Linked DNA regions of Anolis sagrei. The protein of the gene in region 1 purifies or fractionates together with the protein of each later gene. This does not show direct contact. Links are inferred from orthologs where the notes say so. Each region holds a gene or a part of one and is shown on either strand. Other genes may lie near its edges.

Region 1 (10,977 bases):
AGGACTATAAACAAACACTCAGTGCAAAACACAAATTTGGAGCCCCTGGAACACCCATTCCAGAACACAAGGTGTAAATATGAATCCAATGGGCATTGTTTCAAACAGCATTCAGTCCTGTACTATTACACTTTGTATTTTAACTCTGTTGATCATAAAGCTAAGCAACAAAAAATATGATGCCGTATTTTATAAAGCAAAACCCAACCAGTTTTTAAGCATAAGTTTTACACTCATGTCCTATGTTTAATCTCTGTTTTGTGTATTTTAATATGTATTTTTATAAATACATTTTAATATGTGTATTTGTGGTATTTTTACAATGTTTATGTGTTTTAATTATTCTGTAACCCTCCTCGAGCAATGGGGAGAGGGAGTAAGAAATACAATAATTGTGATTACTTTTATTATTATGAATATTAATATTGATTCCTTTATTGTACTTTTCTCTTTGCAGATGTTATAATCTCCAGTTTTAAGAATGCAGATTGACGTTTGTTCATTTCTTTGTTATTTTTTTTCTATGTATGTACTTCAGTATAAATACATAGTTTTTTAAATAACTTCCACCGACTGGTCTCCAGTATTTTCCAGTACTTACTTACTTAGGCGATCCCTCGTAGTCCGAGGATGATGGTCCTCCAAGTTTGGTGTTCTGGTGGTGGGTCCGTAGTTGACTGTGGAGCCCTATTCCAGTACATTCCATTTAAATGACTACTTTTCCTAGAAGCTGACCACATGTGCAAGGAAATCTCACACAACTCCATATAAAATTTGGAAGATCCGCACTAAAACTTTAGGAAAAGATGGACCTCTAAAGGCAGATGGGAGAAAGAAAATAGCTTATTATGGAGATCAATTCTAGTCCAGACCTGTTTTGTCAGTTAAATGAGTTCTTTATACTGATAATTCTTTCAATCTGTGGTAATAGTTTAAATTGAGTGTTCATTAAAATTTACATGAGTAAATTTTCAAGCTAACTTCAAATACTCAATAGCAGGAGTGTCATACTGGTATATCGTCATAAGGAAATGATTTGCTTGATTTTTTTTCCTTAATGGTTCTTTGAGAAATAAGTATTCCTACCATTTGGCCATTGTTCTGAATCAACTGAATTGAATCACAAATATTTCAGAAAATATCCACAAACATTCACATACACAACTGCTTGACACCATCCCATGTGCTAGACTTTAGTTTAAATCAAATTATTTCAAAGAACAAATTTCCTAAATGTAAATTACAATATTTTTCCTTGTATTTTATAATACCTTGAGTAGTTTATATGAAGTATTTCTAGTTTTCCACACCAATCATTTTTAGGCATTTGAAAATTGTGACCAGTTTTAAACGTCTTACCCTAAGTAGAGTAGTCCACTAAATCAGTTGGATTTATTTGTGGTTTAACTAACCATTAAGTAAAAATGAACTAGGTTTACTGTATTTGAGACTTGCAGCAAGATTTTAGAACAAATTGTTACTATTTTTCTAACATAGTACATGAAATGTTACATTTTTGTCCTTTTACCGCTGGGTAAGGAGAAACCGAAAAGGATTTTGAGGACCACTGTACCTTTGAGCAAGAAAAATATGTACGGTATAAGTAACAATTGAATAGGATATAAACCCCTAATATTACCAGAAAGCAATATGAAATGATGGCTTTTTAAAAGATGTTCATACTTGTCAAATGCAATTTTAGAATACGCTTATTTTATCAGTGAAACTTCTGTAAGTATTGACTTGTAGAGTTCCCATTTAGAATGTGTGTATGTGGGCAAACTTGGAAGTCACTTGAAAACATGGCAACCTCATTTCATAGGGTTTTACTACACAACGAATACTGAGAAGTGGTTTTGCAAGTTTTTTACTCTGAAATCTAGCCTAAAGCACCTGTCTATCTGGTTGGTTTAGCATCTATTCACACCTCTCAGCTGATCACAGTGAAAACTGGAATCAGCTTCAAACCAGAATTCATTCTAGGACTGTTGGATAATCAAATAAAAAAGGAATGTTAGAAAATAGTGCAGTACACGTTAACAGTAACAAATCCTACATCATCAACAATGGAAAAAGAAAGAAACAGATTGGACAGTGAAAATTTGGGAATAGAAATTGATAAGTTAACCATTTTGTTGAAGGGGAAATCACTGGACACATTCTTAGAAAAATGTTTCTATTAATATGTATCTGAGGGAATGTTTTGTATTAATATATATGAGGGAAATTGAAAGACAGTTTTTGAGATAGTCAGCAACCTGCTGGATATAAGGTAGAAGAAGAAAAAGTTAAATTATAGGGAAACTGGTAAAGGGGAAGCAGGAAATCCTTTTAAAAAACTAATTCATGTATATTCTTTTGAAGATTCCATTGATTGTAAAACACACACCCACAGTTCTAACACACCTGTTTTTAGAGATATTTATATATGGGAAAGTGAACCTTAGAATAGAAGAAAAAAGATTTGTTGGTGCTTTAATTACATGTAATTAGAGTAGATGTATGTCAGTGTGAAAATTGTGTAGCTGGTATTTAATTGTTCTTTACGTTTTAAAATATATATAAACATTGTTACTTTTATTTGTGTTTCTTCGGTTAAATTTTGCATTTTAGAAAAATGGGGGAAAAGGAGAAATTTACCTAAGATCTTGCTAGCTCTCATGTTGGTCTTTGGAAAGACCTCTTAGTCTGAATCTTCACAAACCATATAATGCAGCTTGAAGCTAGCTCAAGGTCATGGTGTCCACAAAGCATACATCCCCAGTATGCATTAAGCCAGAAACAGTGTATTCAAATGCAGTATACATTAAGCCAGAAACAGTGTGTTCAAAAACACCAGAAAGTTCAAAACAAGCCAAAAATCCACTGCAGCCAATCAGAGTATATTCCATGCAGACCTCCAATCTGGGACTGGAAAATGAAGAATGCTTGCTAGGACACCTGGTGATGACGTGCTTTAAAAATGCAGAAATAGCTGGAAGGTAAATAAGAAAAGACATCATTCCCATGGGAAAATTCACTTCCCACACCTCTGTTCCGATTTCCTGTTTCCTGCCTCTGTCTAGCAGTGATCCCGAAAGGACATGGTGATGCATCTCAGTGAACTGGGTAAGAAAGAAAACATTCTTGGGTTCAATTGCAAACTGCAAAAAGCGGATGCTGTGGCCACCTCATTGAACCATTCCTGGGGTGTTTGTGTAAGCAAGAATGCACAGTGAAAGAGGTCCATTTAAATCCACCTCCAAACAGGATGATGATGATGATGATTAACAACTTTCTTTGTACACAGCCACCATCTCTCAGAGGGAATCTAGGTGGCTCACAAAGCACTCAAAGGTGCAACCACACAAAATACAGAAAGTGTAAACAACCATAAGTGAACAACCAACATAAACATCATAACTTCACAATACCCCCTGGTTAAAACCAAAATACAGTGATAGCTGCAGGTAAAAACAACTGTAGTCAGTTTCAGTCTTGTAAAGTGCTTGATAAAAAAATCTATAGGTCATATATATAGATTATAGTGTCTCTATAGTGTTAGAAGAAGCCTTAATTTTAGGGCTACAAAAGTAATAGGGTATATTTACTTTTATTATATGTTTTGTTATGGATTGCTGAGAGTATGGATATTTTATTTTGTTCTACTTAATTTTCTTTAAGTTATATTTTTTCAGTTACAAAAAAATTAAAAAGACTGTCAGCCCTTGATGAGGGGAAATAGAGACGCCTAGTGTTCTACATGTGGGTTTTTCATTTCTAATTATTCTAAAAGAAATTCAACAATTAAGTTGAAGCTCATCTTTCTTTCATTCAAGCTGTGAACAACAGAATCCTAAGTTTGAAGGGACGGCAATGGCCACCTAGTCCAGCCATGTTTCATAGAGGGTTTACTGCAAATGTTCCCTTGAGAGATGGGCCTTAATCTTGTTTAATATAATGACGAAGTAGGTCATGTTAGAGTAAGGTACCTTGACTAGGTGCTGTTCCATTAGCCGGGTGTAGGCCGCCAGGGGGCGCTAGCTGAAGCAGTAAAACCATCCCCCCCCCCCCCCCCCCCCCCGTTTCCTGTTATGAAATGGGAAGGGGGAATAATCAACAAAAACTAAGGAAATGGCTTTCCTCTTTCAAACCCCCCACCCCCAACATGGACTATCCTCTCTCTCTCTAGCACACCCTGGTGGCTTTTGCCTGTGTCAGAAGCGACTTGAAAAAAATGCAAGTCGCTTTTGGTATGAGAGAACTGGCCATCTGCAAGGACGTTGCCCAGGGGACGCCCAGATGTTTAATATTATACCCTGCTTATAGGAGGCTTCTCTCATGTCCCTGCATGGAGCTCTGGAGCTGACAGAGGGAGCTGAAACTGTTACACTGAGTCCCCTGAGGGGTGAGAAGAGCGGGATGGAAATGAAGTAAAGAAATAAATGTTTCACAGAGCTCTGGACATTGCTGTTTCTTTAAGGTGCTGGGAGTTTCAATGCAGCACAGGCTTAGAGGCCTTCACCTCGCCAATGCACTGTATTGCTTAGGCCAGGCATGTAGCCGGGGGGGGGGGGGGGCTCGGGGGCTTCAGCCCTTCCCCCCGAAATTTTCATGGTGGTTCGCGAAAAGGCCTTATTGGTGCATTATTTAAACTGTTATGTTTATTCATATCATGATCTGATCACCATACTCAATATATCCCATATGCATGGGGGTATTGGGGTAATGATACAAAAGTTTGCTAGGCTAGACCCTCTTTCACTCAGACTCAGCCCCCCCCCGAAACTCAGCCCCCCCCCGAAACCCCCCCTGAAAAAAAATCAGCCCCTCCCCCCCCCCCCCCCCCCCCCGAAACGAAATCCTGGCTACGGGCCTGGCTTAGGCTATTTTTCTTCAGGGGAGGGATAGTCATCAGCTTGAAATGATTACATGCCTTGTTGTTGTTCATTCGTTCAGTCGTCTCCGACTCTTCGTGACCTCATGGACCAGCCCACGCCAGAGCTCCCTGTCGGCCGTTACCACCCCCAGCTCCCTCAAGGTCAGTCCAGTCACTTCAAGGATGCCATCCATCCATCTTGCCCTTGGTCGGCCCCTCTTCCTTTTGCCTTCCACTTTCCCCAGCATAATTGTCTTCTCTAGGCTTTCCTGTCTCCTCATGATGTGGCCAAAGTACTTCAACTTTGTCTCTAGTATCTTTCCCTCCAGTGAGCAGTCAGGCTTTATTTCCTGGAGGATGGACTGGTTGGATCTTCTCGCAGTCCAAGGCACTCTCAGCACTTTCCTCCAACACCACAGCTCAAAAGCATCGATCTTCCTTCGCTCAGCCTTCCCTAAGGTCCAGCTCTCACATCCGTAGGTGACTACAGGGAATACCATGGCTTCGACTAGGCGGATCTTTGTTGCCAGTCTGATGTCTCTACTCTTCACTATTTTATCGAGACTGGACATTGCTCTCCTCCCAAGAAGTAAGCGTCTTCTGATTTCCTGGCCACAGTCTGCATCTGCAGTAATCTTTGCACCTAGAAATACAAAGTCTGTCACAGCCTCCACGGTTTCTCCCTCTATTTTCCAGTTGTCAATCATTCTTGTTGCCATAATCTTGGTTTTTTTGACGTTTAGCTGCAACCCAGCTTTTGCACTTTCTTCTTTCACCTTGATTAGAAGGCTCCTCAGCTCCTCCTCGCTTTCGGCCATCAGGGTGGTGTCATCTGCATATCTGAGGTTGTTAATGTTTCTTCCAGCAATTTTCACCCCAGCTTTGCATTCATCCAGCCCCGCACATCGCATGATGTGTTCTGCATACAAGTTAAAAAGGTTGGGTGAGAGGATGCAGCCTTGCCGTACGCCTTTCCCAATCTTGAACCAGTCTGTTGTTCCGTGGTCAGTTCTGACTGTTGCTACTTGGTCCTTGTACAGATTCCTCAGGAGAGAGACAAGGTGACTTGGTATCCCCATACCACCAAGAACTTGCCACAATTTATTATGATCCACACAGTCAAAGGCTTTAGAATAGTCAATGAAGCAGAAGTAGATGTTTTTCTGAAACTCCCTGCCTTTCTCCATTATCCAGCGGATATTGGCAATGTGGTCTCTCGTTCCTCTGCCTTTTCTAAACCCAGCTTGAACATCTGGCAACTCTCGCTCCATGTATTGCTGGAGTCTTCCTTGCAGGATCTTGAGCATTACCTTACTGGCATGAGAAATAAGGGCCACTGTACGGAAGTTGGAGCAGTCCTTCGCATTTCCCTTTTTTGGTATGGGGATATAAGTTGATTTTTTCCAGTCTGATGGCCATTCTTGTGTTTTCCATATTTGCTGGCAAATGGCATGCATCACCTTGACAGCATCATCTTTTAAGATTTTAAACAGTTCAGCTGGGATCCCGTCGTCTCCTGCTGCCTTGTTGTTAGCAATGCTTCTTAAGGCCCATTCAACCTCACTCCTCAGGATGTCTGGTTCTAATTCATTCACCACACCATCATAACTATCCTCAATATTATTATCCTAGCTTTGATCTATCCACTGAAGAGATTGTGATACCTTCATAGTGAGGCATGTGCCTTAATTTTACAATGTCATTCGCCTCCTCTGCCCAATAGTGCTGGCGCCTCACCAAACGACAGCTCCCAAGATTCCCTAGAACTGAGCCATGGGGGTTAAAGCGGTGCCAAACTGCATTAATTCTTGAGTGTGGCGGGCGCCCTTTTCGGCGAGGGCTATAGCAGGGGCTCGCCGCGGCCTCGGCGGTTGCCTGGGCGACGGCCCTGGCTCCGGCTCCCGGCCTCACAATCTGCAAGCCCCGCCCCGTTCCCGCCCCTCGAGCCGCCTTCCCTCCCGGGGAGGCGCAGGCCCCGCCCTCAGTTGTCAAGGAAGTGAGGTCACACAACATGGCGGCGGCTCGGCCCCAGCTGCGTTGAGCGGGAGGGGGGATCCGGGTCTCGGGGAATCGGCCTCCATCCTCCCCAGCCGGGGCGCGCGGCCGCCCCCAGACCCCTCCGCCGCCGGGAGACGGGCCCCGGGCCGCCATGCTCGCCGTCCTGGCCTCGCTCTGAGCCGGGCTCCGTCCTCGCCGCTGGGTTGGGTCCACTCGAGCCGCGCCGATGGAGTTGAGAGTCGGGAACCGGTACCGGCTCGGCCGGAAGATCGGGAGCGGTTCTTTCGGGGATATTTACCTCGGTGAGGAAGAGGAGGAAGCGGGCGGTGGAGGGGAGGGCTGGCCGGGGTCCGGCGGGGCCTGCTCGGCCTCAAAGAACCGCCGCAACCCGGCAAGGGCTGCCTGTCGCCTCACCTCGGGCTTCTCAGGCCTTGTTTACGGAGGGTGCGCCTACATTGTCGAATAAATGCAGGTTGACAGCACTTCAGCTGCCATGTCTCAGTGCTGTGGAATCCTGGGAGCGGTAGTTTTCCAAGGCCTTACGCTTCCTCTGCTCAGTAGCCCTGGGGCCTCCTCAAACGGCCCCTCCCTGGATTCCGTAGCTGCTCCCCTTTGCAGTCAGTGGTGCCGGCCACCAGTCTTCCGTGTAGGCCTCACCCTTTCCCGAGACTTCCTCAGGGCAGAGCCCCTCGCCCTCCCCGCTTCCTCCTTCAAGAGAAACTTCCTTGGTGACCTTGGGCCGCCGGCCGCCCTCTTCTCAGCCGGCCTCCCTTGGCTGGAGCAGGAAAAATCAAGCCCGTCCTCCTTCCAAAGCATGGACTGGACCCAAGAGTTTTGACTTCAAAGCCTGGTCTTGGCCAGGACCGCAGGCCTTGACTATTGCTTCAACCGGGGCTGTAAAAGCCTCCAGGAAGTAGCTCGCTTTTACAAAAAAAATTGCCCAATGCTGTGTTTTGTGATTGCAAAATCGCTCATTTTGTGGCTTGGGGTGCTTTCTGCCTTTTTGGTTTTTAACCTGGACTTCCGGTAAATGGGATGGTGGGCCCTTCCACATCCATATAACTCAGAATATCAAGGCAGGTAATTCCATAATATCTGGGTTATCTGAGGGCCCTTCCACACAGCCTTATATCCCAGAATATCAAGGCAGAAAAACCCACATTATCAGAGTGTAGACTCAGATAACCCAGTTCAAAGCAGAATTGTGGGATTTTCTGCATTAATATTCTGAGATATAGGACTGTGTGGAAGGGCCTTGAGTCCACACAGCCATATATTCCAGTTCAAAGCAGAAAATGAGGGATTTATTTATTCAGCTGTGTGGAAGGAGCATTTTGTTCCTTTCTGAGGTGTAAAATTCTGGTTATTTGCAACCCAGTCCCCTAGTTTTGATGACAGCATAATTGTGAATCTAAGCCAGAGGCCTGCTGACTTACTTCTTTGGTGATGAATCTTTAATAAACCCCCAGGGATGTGGGTTTTCGCTTGCATTCTGCATATGGTAAGCTAGCCTAGGTGTCTCCTTTCAAAGTGGTAGGCTCTATGCAAAGGTAAGCCAGGAAAAAAAATCTGATGGTCTGTCAATTAGTTCAAGGTTCAGTCCCACGAAGGATTAGGCCTATGCATTGCAGTATACATTTGAGTAGCTTTAATGGGATTGCTGACTTTGCGTATTGTTGTACAAAGGGAACAGCCAATCCAAGTCTGAGCTCCTATGTTTAAAAATAAATGTGAATATCGAAAGCAGCAAATCCATATTGCCAAGGCTGCTATTTCTTTGTATACAAAAGGTTACTTCCTTACCTGATCTAGTGCTTCCTTGCCTGATCTAGTGCTTTTCTGACAGAATAACATTAAATATCTTATAGTGTTTTGTTCTTACCTATCTTTTAGGAAAGGGTGTGAAATGTCAACATTTCTGTTGAAATAAATGCTTTATGTCTTTGATCAGATCTTTATTCAGAAAACTTTGGAAGTGCAGTCTTCTGAAATCCTTCTTGGATGTTGTCTTTGCTTCCTCCTTGTAAATAATAAACTTTAAGGGATTTCTTTTGCTTGCATACTACACAAAATTATACATACAAGGGTGTGAACCCATCAGGACAAAAGATTATCATTTGGTTGCAGCTTCCCCTTTAATTAAAAGTGTTGTGCAGGTTGGAAAAACTTTGTTAAAAGTCAGAGAAGGCTTTTATTAATCTTGTCCCTAATAAAATGTTATATCTGCTTGTGGCAGCGACCCATTAGATTTTTTAAATTTTTGAGAAAGATGTGCAAGAAAGGGCATAGATACCTTTATGATTATGATTCACACTAAAAATGGATCTTAGGTTATGTATATTTCTTAACCATCACATCTATTACTCTTGCCTTTGTTTTATTTACCAGGCTTGAGTTTCTTTTCGCTCTGATACTTAGGAAGGTTCAAAGGATAGTGTAAAACAGGACAGTGAAGATATTTAAATTATTCACCACTGTTGTCCCACCTGATGGGGGAAGAGAAGGATGATGACACTTTCCCAAATTCTTAATCCTAGAACTTTGATTCCCTTGTAATACAGAGAAGACTTCAGAACCTTGACACACGAAATTGTCAGATCCTTTGGCATAGTCTTGTTTTGGTAGCTGCCCAGGGAAGAATATCCTTGTATACTAAAAACATTTCCAGTCAGATATTTTCTTAAACTTTCTGAGTGTTGTAACTTTCGCCATCCTTTCTTCCTCATGTCCGCATTTTAGAATTAAGTTGAATTTAGGAGATATTTCCATTTACTGAAATTAAGACATTAAGATCCCTTACTCATGTGGTGTCATTTCCTGCTTCTTTGAGAAGTTTGCATTATTATTAACAGTAAAAGGTATTACTCCTATTTATGAGGCAAGAATCACAGGTTATTAATTAGTTGATATTGTATATAGGGATTCATTTCAAATAAGAGTTTCTGTAGGTAGTTTGAAATAAGAAGATGGAATTCCTGCAATGCAAAACTTTTGGTTTTGAAAAAGTTTGCTTCTGGGTTTTTTTTAAAAAAACTTCCACCTAGTATATAAAATAAATATTAAATTCCTATAATAAAGTTTTTTCTTCTCATTTGAGCATTATAAAAAATGAGTTGCTTGGCTTTCCAGCCATTGTCTTCGAGGCAGTTGCTATAAATAGAATTGTTCGGTCATATCGGCTATTGACATATAGACGTTTTAAAAATCTGGCTATTACAGTCACTTCAGAAAATAGCAATTTTACTTAGTTACTCTTTCTTCGGTTATATCCAGTGGGATTATTAGATTTCAGATTAGATGGAAGTCACCCAGAAAATCCATTGCAAAATACTTTTATCAAAAGAAGAAGATTGTAGAGTTTCTGATATTTACAACAAGTAAATGTCTGATTAGAAGACCTAAAGTCACTATCACTTTAACTGTGGATCTGTATCTGAAATCTAACAGATCACTTCAGCTTTGTTCATTCAAGATATTTTCTACAACCTTGATTACTGTCTTAATTTCACTTCATAGGAATCTCATTTTTGATTTGTAATTGTGAGAACTCTTTCTGCAGTGGTTTCATCTATAAGTATTTTTTTACCATATTTTACTAAGGTATTTTGATTTTGCTACTACTGTACTGGAAGCTGTGATAGACTAGCATTGTTTATTACGTAGCCAACAAATTCATTTAGAAATGAAAAATTCAGTCTTGCACATCTCTGGTACCAATTACCAGGCTACTTCAGTGTTTCCCTGAACCTGAACTATAGCCAGGTTTTATTTTCTGAGGATCTGTGAGATGCTGCCCAGTCACTAAGAATTTGTTGGCAGAAAATATGCTTACCTAAGAAGGACTTCCTTACTCAGGAGTCTGTAGCAAAATATGTATGATTGGAGATGAATCCTCCTTATGCACTGCATAAAGAAGACATTACTACATCCTGCAGTTTTGCTTGATGAAATTAATATTTTTGCACCAGTCTACAGTAAGTATTAAATAATAACGTAGTAGTAGTAGTAGTAACAACTTTATTTCTAGATCGCTCTCTCTCCCCAGAAGTACTCAGGGCAGTTGACACATAAAAGGGCAAACATTCAATGCCTCAAAATAGGTACAGACTAAATTGTAGTAA
Region 2 (11,601 bases), on another chromosome or scaffold:
CCAATGGAAGCAAAATTGGCTGGTGGTTTATATAGACACAGTGAAGGCATTTGGGAGTTGTAGTTGCTGGGATTTATAGTACACCTACAATCAAAGTGCATTCTGAACTCCACCAATGATGGAATTGAACCAAACTTGGCACACAGTTCTCCCATGACCAACAGAAAATACTGGAAGGGTTTGGTGGGCAGTGTCCTTTGGTTTTGGAATTGTAGTTCACCTACTGTGGACTCAAACAATGATAGATCTGGACCAATCTCTACATGAATACTCAATATGCCCAAATGTGAACACTGGTAGAGTTTGGGGGAAATAAAATCTTGACATTTGGGAGTTGTAGTTGCTGGGATTTATAGTTCACCTACAATCACAGAGCATTCTGAACCCCATCAACAATAGAATTGGGCCAAACCTCCCACACAGAACCCCCATGTGGGCCACAGCAAAATCACTGGACGAATTGACACCAAATTTGGACACAATACATCTATCAGGCAAACGAAGCACAATGGAGGACCTTCTTGCAGCAACACCAGAAGCACTCCAAGGGGCCAGCTACTGGTCAAAGGACGTTTAATCAACTACCAAACTCACAAATTTTGTATGTTGTCTGTTTGTTTGCTTTGTTCTGTTAGTAATGTAATATAATTGACTGGTTGCCCTGACACGACAAATAAATAAAATAAATAAATAGGCAAACGAGTGACCATCACTCACAAACACACTGAAAAACACAGCAGAAGAAACTAACAAAGCCAAAAAACAAAAATTTCATTACAACGTATGCGCAAAACCACATATATATATGCAAACACACATATACACAATTATATTCACACACAAAACAGATATACACAGACTGGGCCACAGCAACGTGTGGCAGGGGACGGCTAGTCTATATAAATAAAAATGTAATGTTCATTTGTGGGATTAACAGAACTCAAAAACCATTGGACGAATTGACACTAAATTTGGACACAAGACACTTAACAACCCAATGTATGTCCTTCACTCAAAAAAAAAATGATTTTGTCATTTGGGAGTTGTAGTTGCTGGGATTTATAGTTCACCTACAATCAAAGAGCATTCTGAACTCCACCAATGATGGAACTGAACCAATCTTGGGACACAGAACTCCCATGACCAACAGAAAATACTAGAAGGGTTTGGTGAGCATTGACCTTGAGTCTGGGAGTTGTAGTTTACCTACATCCAGAGAGCACTGTGGACTCAAACAATGATGGATCTGGACCAAACTTGGCACGAATATTCCATTGGGTTGTTAGGTGTCTTGTGTCCAAATTTAGTGTCAATTCATCCAGTGGTTTTTGAGTTCTGTTAATCCCACAAACGAACATTACATTTTTATTTATATAGATATGTGTGTGTATGTTTTGGATAGCATAGGCTAGGGTTAACACTTCTGTGACATTTGTTTTGTTGCCTGTGCCTCTGTTCAGAAGATTTCACCTCACTTTGTGTCCCTGTGATAGTGTGGATTTTGAACATTTGCCTTGTTGTGGGAACACATTTTCCCCATGATAATAACTCTTCCAGGATATCTAATCCTTCCAAGGGGAAGATTTCCATCACTTCCTGTTCTTAACTTTGAGTCAGATGTCTGTAACTTGGCAAGTGCCCGTAAATGCCTGCAATACACTCACATTCATCCCTTGTTATCTTTTCCTCCTATACATTCCAGTGTTTGCTATCAGATCTTATAACATTGGAAAAAAAACAGTCTTCAGACAAGACATACAAAGTCAAAGATAAGGAGAAAGTAGTTCATGATTTTCCTGCAGAACAGCAAAACATTCTGACTTCCGATTTATGACTCTTAAAGAGGTCACACACAAAATAAACAGAAATGCCCTCCAATTTTTGTTATCTGGCTTGATCTAAAGGTAGGATGGCCCATTTCCTCATCTAAGGCCCTTGCAGTGTGACTTAGGCCCCTTCTATACTGCCATGTAAAATCCAGATTATCTGCTTTGAACTGGATTATATGGCTGTGTAGACTCATATAATCCAGTTCAGAGAACATCATGTGGATTATCTGTTTTGGCAGATAGAATCACACGACTGGAAGGGCCGCCCAGCTCATCCATTCTGCCAAACAGGAAGACACAATCCAAGCCCTCCCAACAGATGGCCATCCCCTCTCCTCCAGAGAAGAAGACTCCATCTTTCCTTCCACAAGAAACATCTCAAAGGCCCTATCTATACTACCATGTAATCCTGTTACTAAATCCAGATTACATGCTTTGAACTGGATTCTATGGCAGTCTCCAAAGCATATAATCAGGATTCAGACAATGGATGATAATACAGTGAAGACTCATATAACCCAATTCAAAGCAGATAATCAGGATTCAGATTCTGGATGATATGGCAGTTTAGACTCATAAATAATTATGAAATAGGAAGAATTAACACAGAATGGCTAGACAATGCTGCTGGATAATTATTTTAACAGGACGACACTGGTAATTATATGTTTTTAATGGTTTAATATGGTATTTATAATATTAGGTTGAATGGATGATATAGAAGTGTAGACTCATATAACCCAGCTGAAAGCACACAGTGTAGACTCAACCCAGTTCAAAACACATAGGATTCAAAAACTGGATGATATAGCAGTGTAGACTCATATAACCCAGTTCAAAGCACATAGGATTCAGAACCTGGATGATATAGCAGTGTAGACTCATATAACCCAGTTCAAAGCACATAGGATTCAGAAACTGGATGATATAGCAGTGTAGACTCATATAACCCAGCTCAAAGCACATAGGATTCAGAAACTGGATGATATAGCAGTGTGGACTCATATAACCCAGTTCAAAGCACACAGGATTCAGAAACTGGATAATATAGCTGTGTAGACTCATATAACCCAGCTCAAAGCACGTAGGATTCATAAACTGGATGATATAGCAGTGTAGACTCATATAACTCAGTTCAAAGCACATAGGATTCAGAAACTGGATGATATAGCAGTGTAGACTCATATAACCCAGCTCAAAACACATAGGATTCAGAAACTGGATGATATAGCACTGTAGACTCATATAACCCAGCTCAAAACACATAGGATTCAGAAACTTGATAATATAGCAGTGCAGACTCATATCACCCAATTCAAGACACACAAGATTCAGAAACTGCATTATATGGCAGTGTAGACTCATATAACCCAATTCAAAGCACACAGGATTCAGAAACTGGATGATACAGCACTGTAGACTCATATAACCCAGTTCAAGGCACATAGAATTCAGAAACTGGATGATATAGCACTGTAGACTCATATCACCCAATTCAAGACACACAAGATTCAGAAACTGCATTATATGGCAGTGTAGACTCATATAACCCAATTCAAAGCACACAGGATTCAGAAACTGGATGATATAGCACTGTAGACTCATATCACCCAGTTCAAGGCACATAGGATTCAGAAACTGCATTATATGGCAGTGTAGACTCATATAACCCAATTCAAAGCACACAGGATTCAGAAACTGGATGATATAGCACTGTAGACTCATATCACCCAATTCAAGACACACAAGATTCAGAAACTGCACTATATGGCAGTGTAGACTCATATAACCCAATTCAAAGCACACAGGATTCAGAAACTGGATGATATAGCACTGTAGACTCATATAACCCAGTTCAAGGCACATAGGATTCAGAAACTGCATTATATGGCAGCGTAGACTCATATAACCCAATTCAAAGCACACAGGATTCAGAAACTGGATGATATAGCACTGTAGACTCATATCACCCAGTTCAAGGCACATAGGATTCAGAAACTGCATTATATGGCAGCGTAGACTCATATAACCCAATTCAAAGCACACAGGATTCAGAAACTGGATGATATAGCACTGTAGACTCATATCACCCAGTTCAAGGCACATAGGATTCAGAAACTGCATTATATGGCAGTGTAGACTCATATAACCCAGCTCAAAGTACATAGGATTCAGATAAAGCAGTGTAGACTCATATAATCCAGTTCAAGGAACATAGGATTCAGAAACTGCATTATATGACAGTGTAGACTCATATAACCCAGCTCAAAGTACATAGGATTCAGATAAAGCAGTGTAGATTCATATAACCCAGTTCAAGGCACATAGGATTCAGAAACTGCATTATATGGCAGTGTAGACTCATATAACCCAGCTCAAAGTACATAGGATTCAGATAAAGCAGTGTAGATTCATATAACCCAGTTCAAGGCACATAGGATTCAGAAACTGCATTATATGGCAGTGTAGACTCATATAATTCAGTTCAAAGCACATACAATTCAGAAACTGGATGATATAGCACTGTAGACTCATATCACCCAGTTCAAGGCACATAGGATTCAGAAACTGCATTATATGGCAGTGTAGACTCATATAACCCAGCTCAAAGTACATAGGATTCAGATAAAGCAGTGTAGACTCATATAATCCAGTTCAAGGAACATAGGATTCAGAAACTGCATTATATGGCAGTGTAGACTCATATAACCCAGCTCAAAGTACATAGGATTCAGATAAAGCAGTGTAGATTCATATAACCCAGTTCAAGGCACATTGGATTCAGAAACTGCATTATATGGCAGTGTAGACTCATATAATTCAGTTCAAAGCACATACAATTCAGAAACTGGATGATATAGCAGTGTAGACTCATATAACCCAGCTCAAAATATCCAGGGGCCCTTCCACCCAGAATGTCAAGGCAGATAATCCTCAATATCTGCTTTGAACCGGGTTATCCGAGTCCACACTGCTATATAACGCAGTTCAACACTGATAATGTGGGATTTTATTCAGGTGTGTGGAAGGGGCACAGAAATAAGGGTCAAACGACAATTCCCAGGCTTCCCTTGCTTGTAGATCAGGCCTGGGCCAACTTGGGTCCTCCAGGTGTTTTGGACTACAACTCCCACAATTCCTAACAGCCGGTAGGCTGTTAGGAATTGTGGGAGTTGTAGTCCAAAACACCTGGAGGGCCCAAGTTGGCCCAGGCCTGGTATAAATACCCAACTAAAGGCCGAGGCCTAGCTGCCTCAGTGAAGGGACCCACCTGCGAGGCGAGGCCTCCGCTTCCGCCGCTTCTTCTCTTCTGGGCCTTGAGCCCCGCCCCTACCCTGGCCACGCCCCCTTACGCACTCCGCTGCGCATGCGTCGGGACGGCGGCCGAAGAGGGGGAAGAGGGCGGGGCTTGGCTTTCGCTGGTTCCAAGGAGGGAGAGGGAGAGGCGCATGCGCGGGACTTTGCAGCCAACCCAACGCGTTTCTGACAAGTTTGTCCTTCCAGAAGGTGGCCGTTGTTTAGAGATGGATGGGAGTTGGAGTCCAAAACAGCTGGAGGGCCCAAGTTGGCCCAGGCCTGATCTAGATAAATAGAAGATAAATGGATAGATAGATAGATGAATGGAGTGGGTGGAAGATAGATAGATAGATAGATAGATAGATAGGTAGGTAGGTAGATAGATAGATAGATAGATGGATGGATAAATAATAATAATTTATTTATTTCTATTTATATAAATAGATGGATGGATGGGTCATAATAATAAGACTTGATAGATAGATGGATGAATAATAATAATAATAATAATAATAATTTATTTAAATGTATATAGATGGGTAATAATACTTTATAGATGGATGGATGAGTAATATTTATTTATTCATTCATATTTATATAAATGGATGGATGGGTCATAATAATAAGACTTGATAGATGGATGGATGGAAGATAGATGGATGAAGTGATGGATGGATGGAAGGAAGATTCATAATAATAATAATAATATATTTAAATTATAGGTGGATCGGTAATAATAATAAGATTTTATAGATTGATGGGTGGAAGATAGATGGTTGGATGAATAATAATTATTTATATTTATATACATAGATCAATGGATAGATGGATGGATGGGTCATAAGACTTGATAGATAGATGGTTGGATGGAAGATAGATGGATGGATTGTTCGATGGATAGATGGATGAATTGATGAATGGATGGAGGATGAATGCTAATAATAATTTATTTGAATTTGTATAGATGGACGGTAATAATAATAAGACTTTATAGATGGATAGATGGATAAATAATTATTATTTAGTTATATTTATATAAATAGATGGATGGATAAATGGATGGATGGGTCATGGATAGATAGATAGATAGATGAATTGATTGATGGATGGAAGATGGATTAATAAAAATAATAATTTCTTTAAATTATAGATGGAACAGTAATAATAAGACTTTATAGATGGATGGATGGATAATAATTATTTCTATACAAATAGATGGATGGATAGATGGGTCATAATAATAAGATAAATAGCTGGATGGAAGATGGATTGTTAGATTAATTGATGGATGGATCGATGAATAATATAGATGGATCGGTAATAATAATAAGACTTTATACATGGATGGAAGACAGATGGATGGATGAATAATAATTATTTATTTATATTTATATAAATAGATGGATGGATAAATGGGTCATAATAATATGACTTGATCGATGGATGGATGGATGGATGGAAGATGGATGGATGGTTAGATGGATGAATAATAATAACTTATTTAAATTTATATAGATGGATCTGTAATAATAATAAGACGTCATTTATAGATAGATGGATGGAAGAAGAAGAACTTTATTTTTCTACCCCGCCTCCATCTCCCCAAAGGGACCCGGGGCAACTAACCCTAACATACAATTAAAACAAGGCAAATAAAAAATTAAAACAATGTATAACTGACATTAAAAAAACAAGACATCATAAGCAACAACCAGAAATACTCTCAAGTCTCATTTTGGGGAGGACTGGTGTACAGACATGTTAGAGGATAGGCTGGCCAAAGGTAGATAGAACATATCGCAGCAAAGGAATAGAGTAATTATAATAGGATTATTTTAATTTAAGGTGCAGTAATGAAATACAGGAACTTGATTCAAGGCCATGGTTAAGGACCATGTTTGATGGATGGATGGATGGATGGATAGGTGGATAGATGGATGGAAGATAGAAGGGGGGTGGATAGATACATGAATGGAAGATAGATAGGTGGATGAGTGATAATAATTTATTTATATAGATGGAAGGATAACAATAATAAGACTTTAACCCCAGGACTGTAATTCTCAAAACCTTTAATGACTGCTAAATCAATTTATCTCATGGGCATCTATTTCCAAAAGTTGGGAGTGATTATTTCAACTTCTTGTGTTAGGACTTCTTGTTCTAGTTCATATTTCTGTAGCTTCATCCCACTTCATATATGTTTTCCTGATTAAATCTTAATAAATCAAAGGATTTTATGCTCAGTTAACTCTAGAACGGTGAGGTCCTTTGCCTGCGTTAATATCAGGAAGCTTGAGGAAAGGATATGGTGCAATACTGAGAAAGACAAATGGTGACTCACAAAGCCAAGATGATTGTCAACTGAATTTCTGGAGGAAAAGAAGTACAAGCAGTTGATAGAATGGTTTTATATATATATATACACACACACGTATATGCACACATATACACATATGCATAATAAATGTAATACAATATGATATATCAATATCTATCTATATATATATGTATACAGGGTGAGGCAGTATAACTTCATTTTTTAAAATGCGCGCCATTCAGTCAGTTGAAGACGTAGCGGAGCGCTAGTAGTCTTGTTCGAGAGGCGGGAGTATAAAGTTTTGTCCTGACACAGTTCATTCGCCATCATGCGTTGGAACAGTGAGGAGCGTGCTTTTGCCGTTGAGGCCTACTTTTCGAGCAGATTTGGAGTGGCCGGCCCGCTCTCCAGATTTGGCCCCTTGTGATTTTTTTCTATGGGTTTTTTTGAAATCCTGTGTTTATGTGAACCGTCCAAGGACCCTACAAGATTTGAAGACCAACATCCAGGAAGAAATTGCCAACACAACTCCTGCTATGATTGAGAGTCATGACAAACGCCAGAAATCAGGTTACTTAGTGTATGGAGAATGGGGGACGTCACCTACCTAATTTGATCTTCAAAACTACGTAAAACAAAACTTTTGGTATGTGCCTACATTATAAAAAAAATCAGATTCATACAATGGGTTTTATTAAGTTTTGAAAAAAGGAAGTTATGCTGCCTCACCCTGTATATCGGTATTAATATATATTATACATGTATAGCTAATATATAATAAACCACAATATATACACTCCATATGTGTATATGCGTGTGTCTATATAAACACATATAAAATGTCATATATAATATATATAATACAAAAATATATAATGTACATACATGTATATATAACAAACCACTATATATACATTATACACACATATATACACAAACTCTATATATGGGTTTATCATGAAAATTTAAATATATTATGGTTTAATATAGGGAAATAGTTGTATTTGTATATATTGATACATAGATGTATAGCGTAATATATATGCATGCACTTATATATATACATATAAGTTTAACAGTATATACTTTCATCACACATGATATATAAATACCGATAATGGTATGTGTGTGTGTGTGTAGATATATATATATATATATATATATATATTAGCTTATTATATGAAAAGTTAAATGTATGTAATGGTTTTGTTATAAGGTTTATTTGTATAACACAACACAGATACATATATGTAGTGTTAAAGTTGTATCTCTGTGTTGTTTTGTATAACATGAAACATTATTATTAATATATATAATGGTTTATTATATGAAAAGTTACACGTGTATATATATGTGTGTGTGTGTGTATTTATATATGTGTATATATTTTGTGTGTGTGTGTGTGTGTGTGTGTATATATATATATATATATCCAGGTTTCATGGGGCCATCAGGTCCCATGCGTGTTATGAAAGTCTTTTGCGAAGATGAGTGACCCATTAAGGTGGGTCGGGCACTCACAATGCCCATGTCCATTGTGTTCTACACATATCATTGTCCAAAGTGATGGAATTAGTAAATCCAATCATGGGAAGTCAAAACTTTATTATAAAGTAGTACATCCAATTGCAGCTTTGCTTACTTAGGCTATTCCTCGTTGTCCAAGTAGGATAGTCTTCCAGAATCAGTGTACTTACTTTACTTATTTACTTACTTACTTATTTAGGCGATCCCTCATAGTCCGAGGATGATGGTCCTTCAAGTTCGTTGTCCTGGCGGTGGGTCCGTAGGTGGCTGTGGAGCCCTATTCTTGATCTGCATCTTCTTCCGCAGAGAGGGCATTGGTTTCCAGGTGGTCTCTGTCGGGGTTGGCCTGACGCGTCTTCCTCTTGGCACGTTTCTCTCTTTCGCCCTCTATTCGTGCTTCTTCAAATTCTGCAGCACTTCTGGCCGCAGCTGACCTCCAGTCGGAGCACTCAAGGGCCAGGGCTTCCCAGTTCTCAGTGTCTATTCCACAGTTTTTGAGGTTGGCTTTGAGCCCGTCTTTAAATCTCTTTTCCTGTCCACCAACATTCCGTTTTCCATTCTTGAGTTCGGAGTAGAGCAACCGCTTTGGGAGACAGTGGTCGGGCATTCAGACAAGGGGGCCAGTCCAGCTGAGTTGATGGCGGAGGACCATCGCTTCAATGCTGGTGGTCTTTGCATCTTCCAGCACGCTGACATTGTCCGCTTGTCTACCCAAGAGATTTGCAGGATTTTCCAGAGGCAGCGCTGATGGAATTGTTCCAGGAGCTGAGTGTGACATCTGTAGACAGTCCACGTTTCGCAGGCATATAACAGGGTTTGGAGGACAATAGCTTTATAGACAAGCACCTTGGTCTCTGTATGGATGTCCCAGACCTGAAACACTCTCTGCTTCATTTGGAAAAATGCTGCCCTTGCAGAGCTCAGGCGGTGTTGTATTTCTGTGTCAATGTTGACTTGGATGGAGAGGTGGCTGCCAAGGGAGTGCAAATAATAATAATAATAATAATAAACTTTATTTATACGCCGCCACCATCTCCCCCAACGGGGACTTGGGGCGGCTTACATGAGGCCAGAACTTCCTGACTGTGAGAGCCGTTCAGCAGTGGAACTCTCTGCCCCAGAGTGTGGTGGAGGCTCCTTCTTTGGAAGCTTTTAAACAGAGGCTGGATGGCCATCTGTCAGGGGTGATTTGAATGCAACATTCCTGCTTCTTGGCAGGGGGTTGGACTGGATGGCCCATGAGGTCTCTTCCAACTCTTTGATTCTATGATTCTAGGCGCAAATAGTCCTATATGCAATTTTATCTGTATGGTCTCAAAATGTATAAGGAAATCACTTTCTCAGGCTTCAAAAAGCCTTGGCGCCTGGCTAGGCCTGGTAACCATGGCAACTTCCAGAAGGATTCATCCTAAGCCTTTTCAACGCCGTGTCACCTCCCAGCCAATGGGCTCTTTCCGCTTGGCCACAGCGCGGGCTGTGATTGGTCCGCGGGGCCGGTTGGGTGGACCAATCAGTAGCGCGGAGGTTAAGCGGAAAGAAGGTAAGGCAAAGAAGAAAAGGGGAGAAAGGCCCGACGGCGAAGCACGCGACGGGTGCGTGACGTCACTACGCAAGCGGACCAATCGGGGCCGGCCAGCTAGGAAGGAAGCAACCAATCGGGAAGCTCCAGCGAGGAAAAACCGACCAACCACAGCCATCCACGCAAGGGAGCGGGCGACTATATAAGGCCGCACGAGCGGCTGGGCCTAGACACTCTTGAGAAGCCTGAGAGGAAGGAATTTAGTTTGTCGCGTGTTAGAAACGTCGTTACCAGTGTGGACGGCTGTAGCTGATTAATAGAGGTGAGCCTCTTAACGAACCACGCCTTGTTACTAATTGTGGTAAACTATTAAATGCTATTATTCCTATATATATCCATTTATGTATATATGTAACTTGCTAGTTGTAGTTTAAGCCTGGAGTCTTAACATGAATGAATTATCTCTCTGTATATGTTTATATATATCTATATGTGTGTATATATAGACATATATATAGTGTATATATGCTATTATGTATTCATAGCTGTTGCAAATAGTTGTATGTGTGTATTAGTAATCTATAAGCCTATCCAACGTTAATTAATTATGTATCTATATATATATTGGCATACGAATAGGAATATGAGTTAACCCTATCATAGAGTATGAGCTAAGCCTATCATCTCAACTCCTATGTGAATCTATATATATTTCTATAGGAATAGTGTATAACCTTGTAAGCCTATCATCTCAACACTAATAAACTGTGAATTCCTATATATTTCTATAGGAATAGTATATAATCTATAAGCCTATCATTGAACATTAATGTGTGTAAATATAATAGTATAGTAATATATTTATAGATGCTGAAAAATGTTTTTATTAGCAAGTGTATAATCTATGAGCCTAAAATCTAAATATTGATAAACTATCTATATATATATAGTTATAATGTATAATCTATAAGTTTTTCTAAACATTAATAAATGATGTCTTTGTAAATATAATAGTTTGTATCTATATATATATATTTCTATATAGTAATATTGTATGTTTATTGATGTTAGAAATAGTACTTGTGTGTATTAGTGATAGTGTATAATCT

What was found. Proteins that work in one complex are often made in the same cells at the same time.
Region 2: the proteins of CSNK1D (region 1) and GAPVD1 purify together in Homo sapiens (affinity purification with mass spectrometry; 5 studies listed by BioGRID and IntAct, counting the BioPlex papers as one, with this or other methods). This does not show direct contact. The link is inferred for Anolis sagrei from reciprocal best matches to the Homo sapiens genes CSNK1D and GAPVD1.

What each region holds. Positions count from the first base shown.
Region 1 is NC_090022.1:114,329,378-114,340,354, reverse strand, and holds the start of CSNK1D (casein kinase I), read left to right. Parts: upstream 1-6,842; 5' UTR 6,843-7,082; coding exon 7,083-7,158; intron 7,159-10,977. UniProt on the Homo sapiens protein: Essential serine/threonine-protein kinase that regulates diverse cellular growth and survival processes including Wnt signaling, DNA repair and circadian rhythms. It can phosphorylate a large number of proteins.
Region 2 is NC_090031.1:6,428,393-6,439,993, reverse strand, and holds the start of GAPVD1 (GTPase-activating protein and VPS9 domain-containing protein 1), read right to left. Parts: upstream 5,198-11,601; 5' UTR 5,101-5,197; intron 1-5,100. UniProt on the Homo sapiens protein: Acts both as a GTPase-activating protein (GAP) and a guanine nucleotide exchange factor (GEF), and participates in various processes such as endocytosis, insulin receptor internalization or LC2A4/GLUT4 trafficking.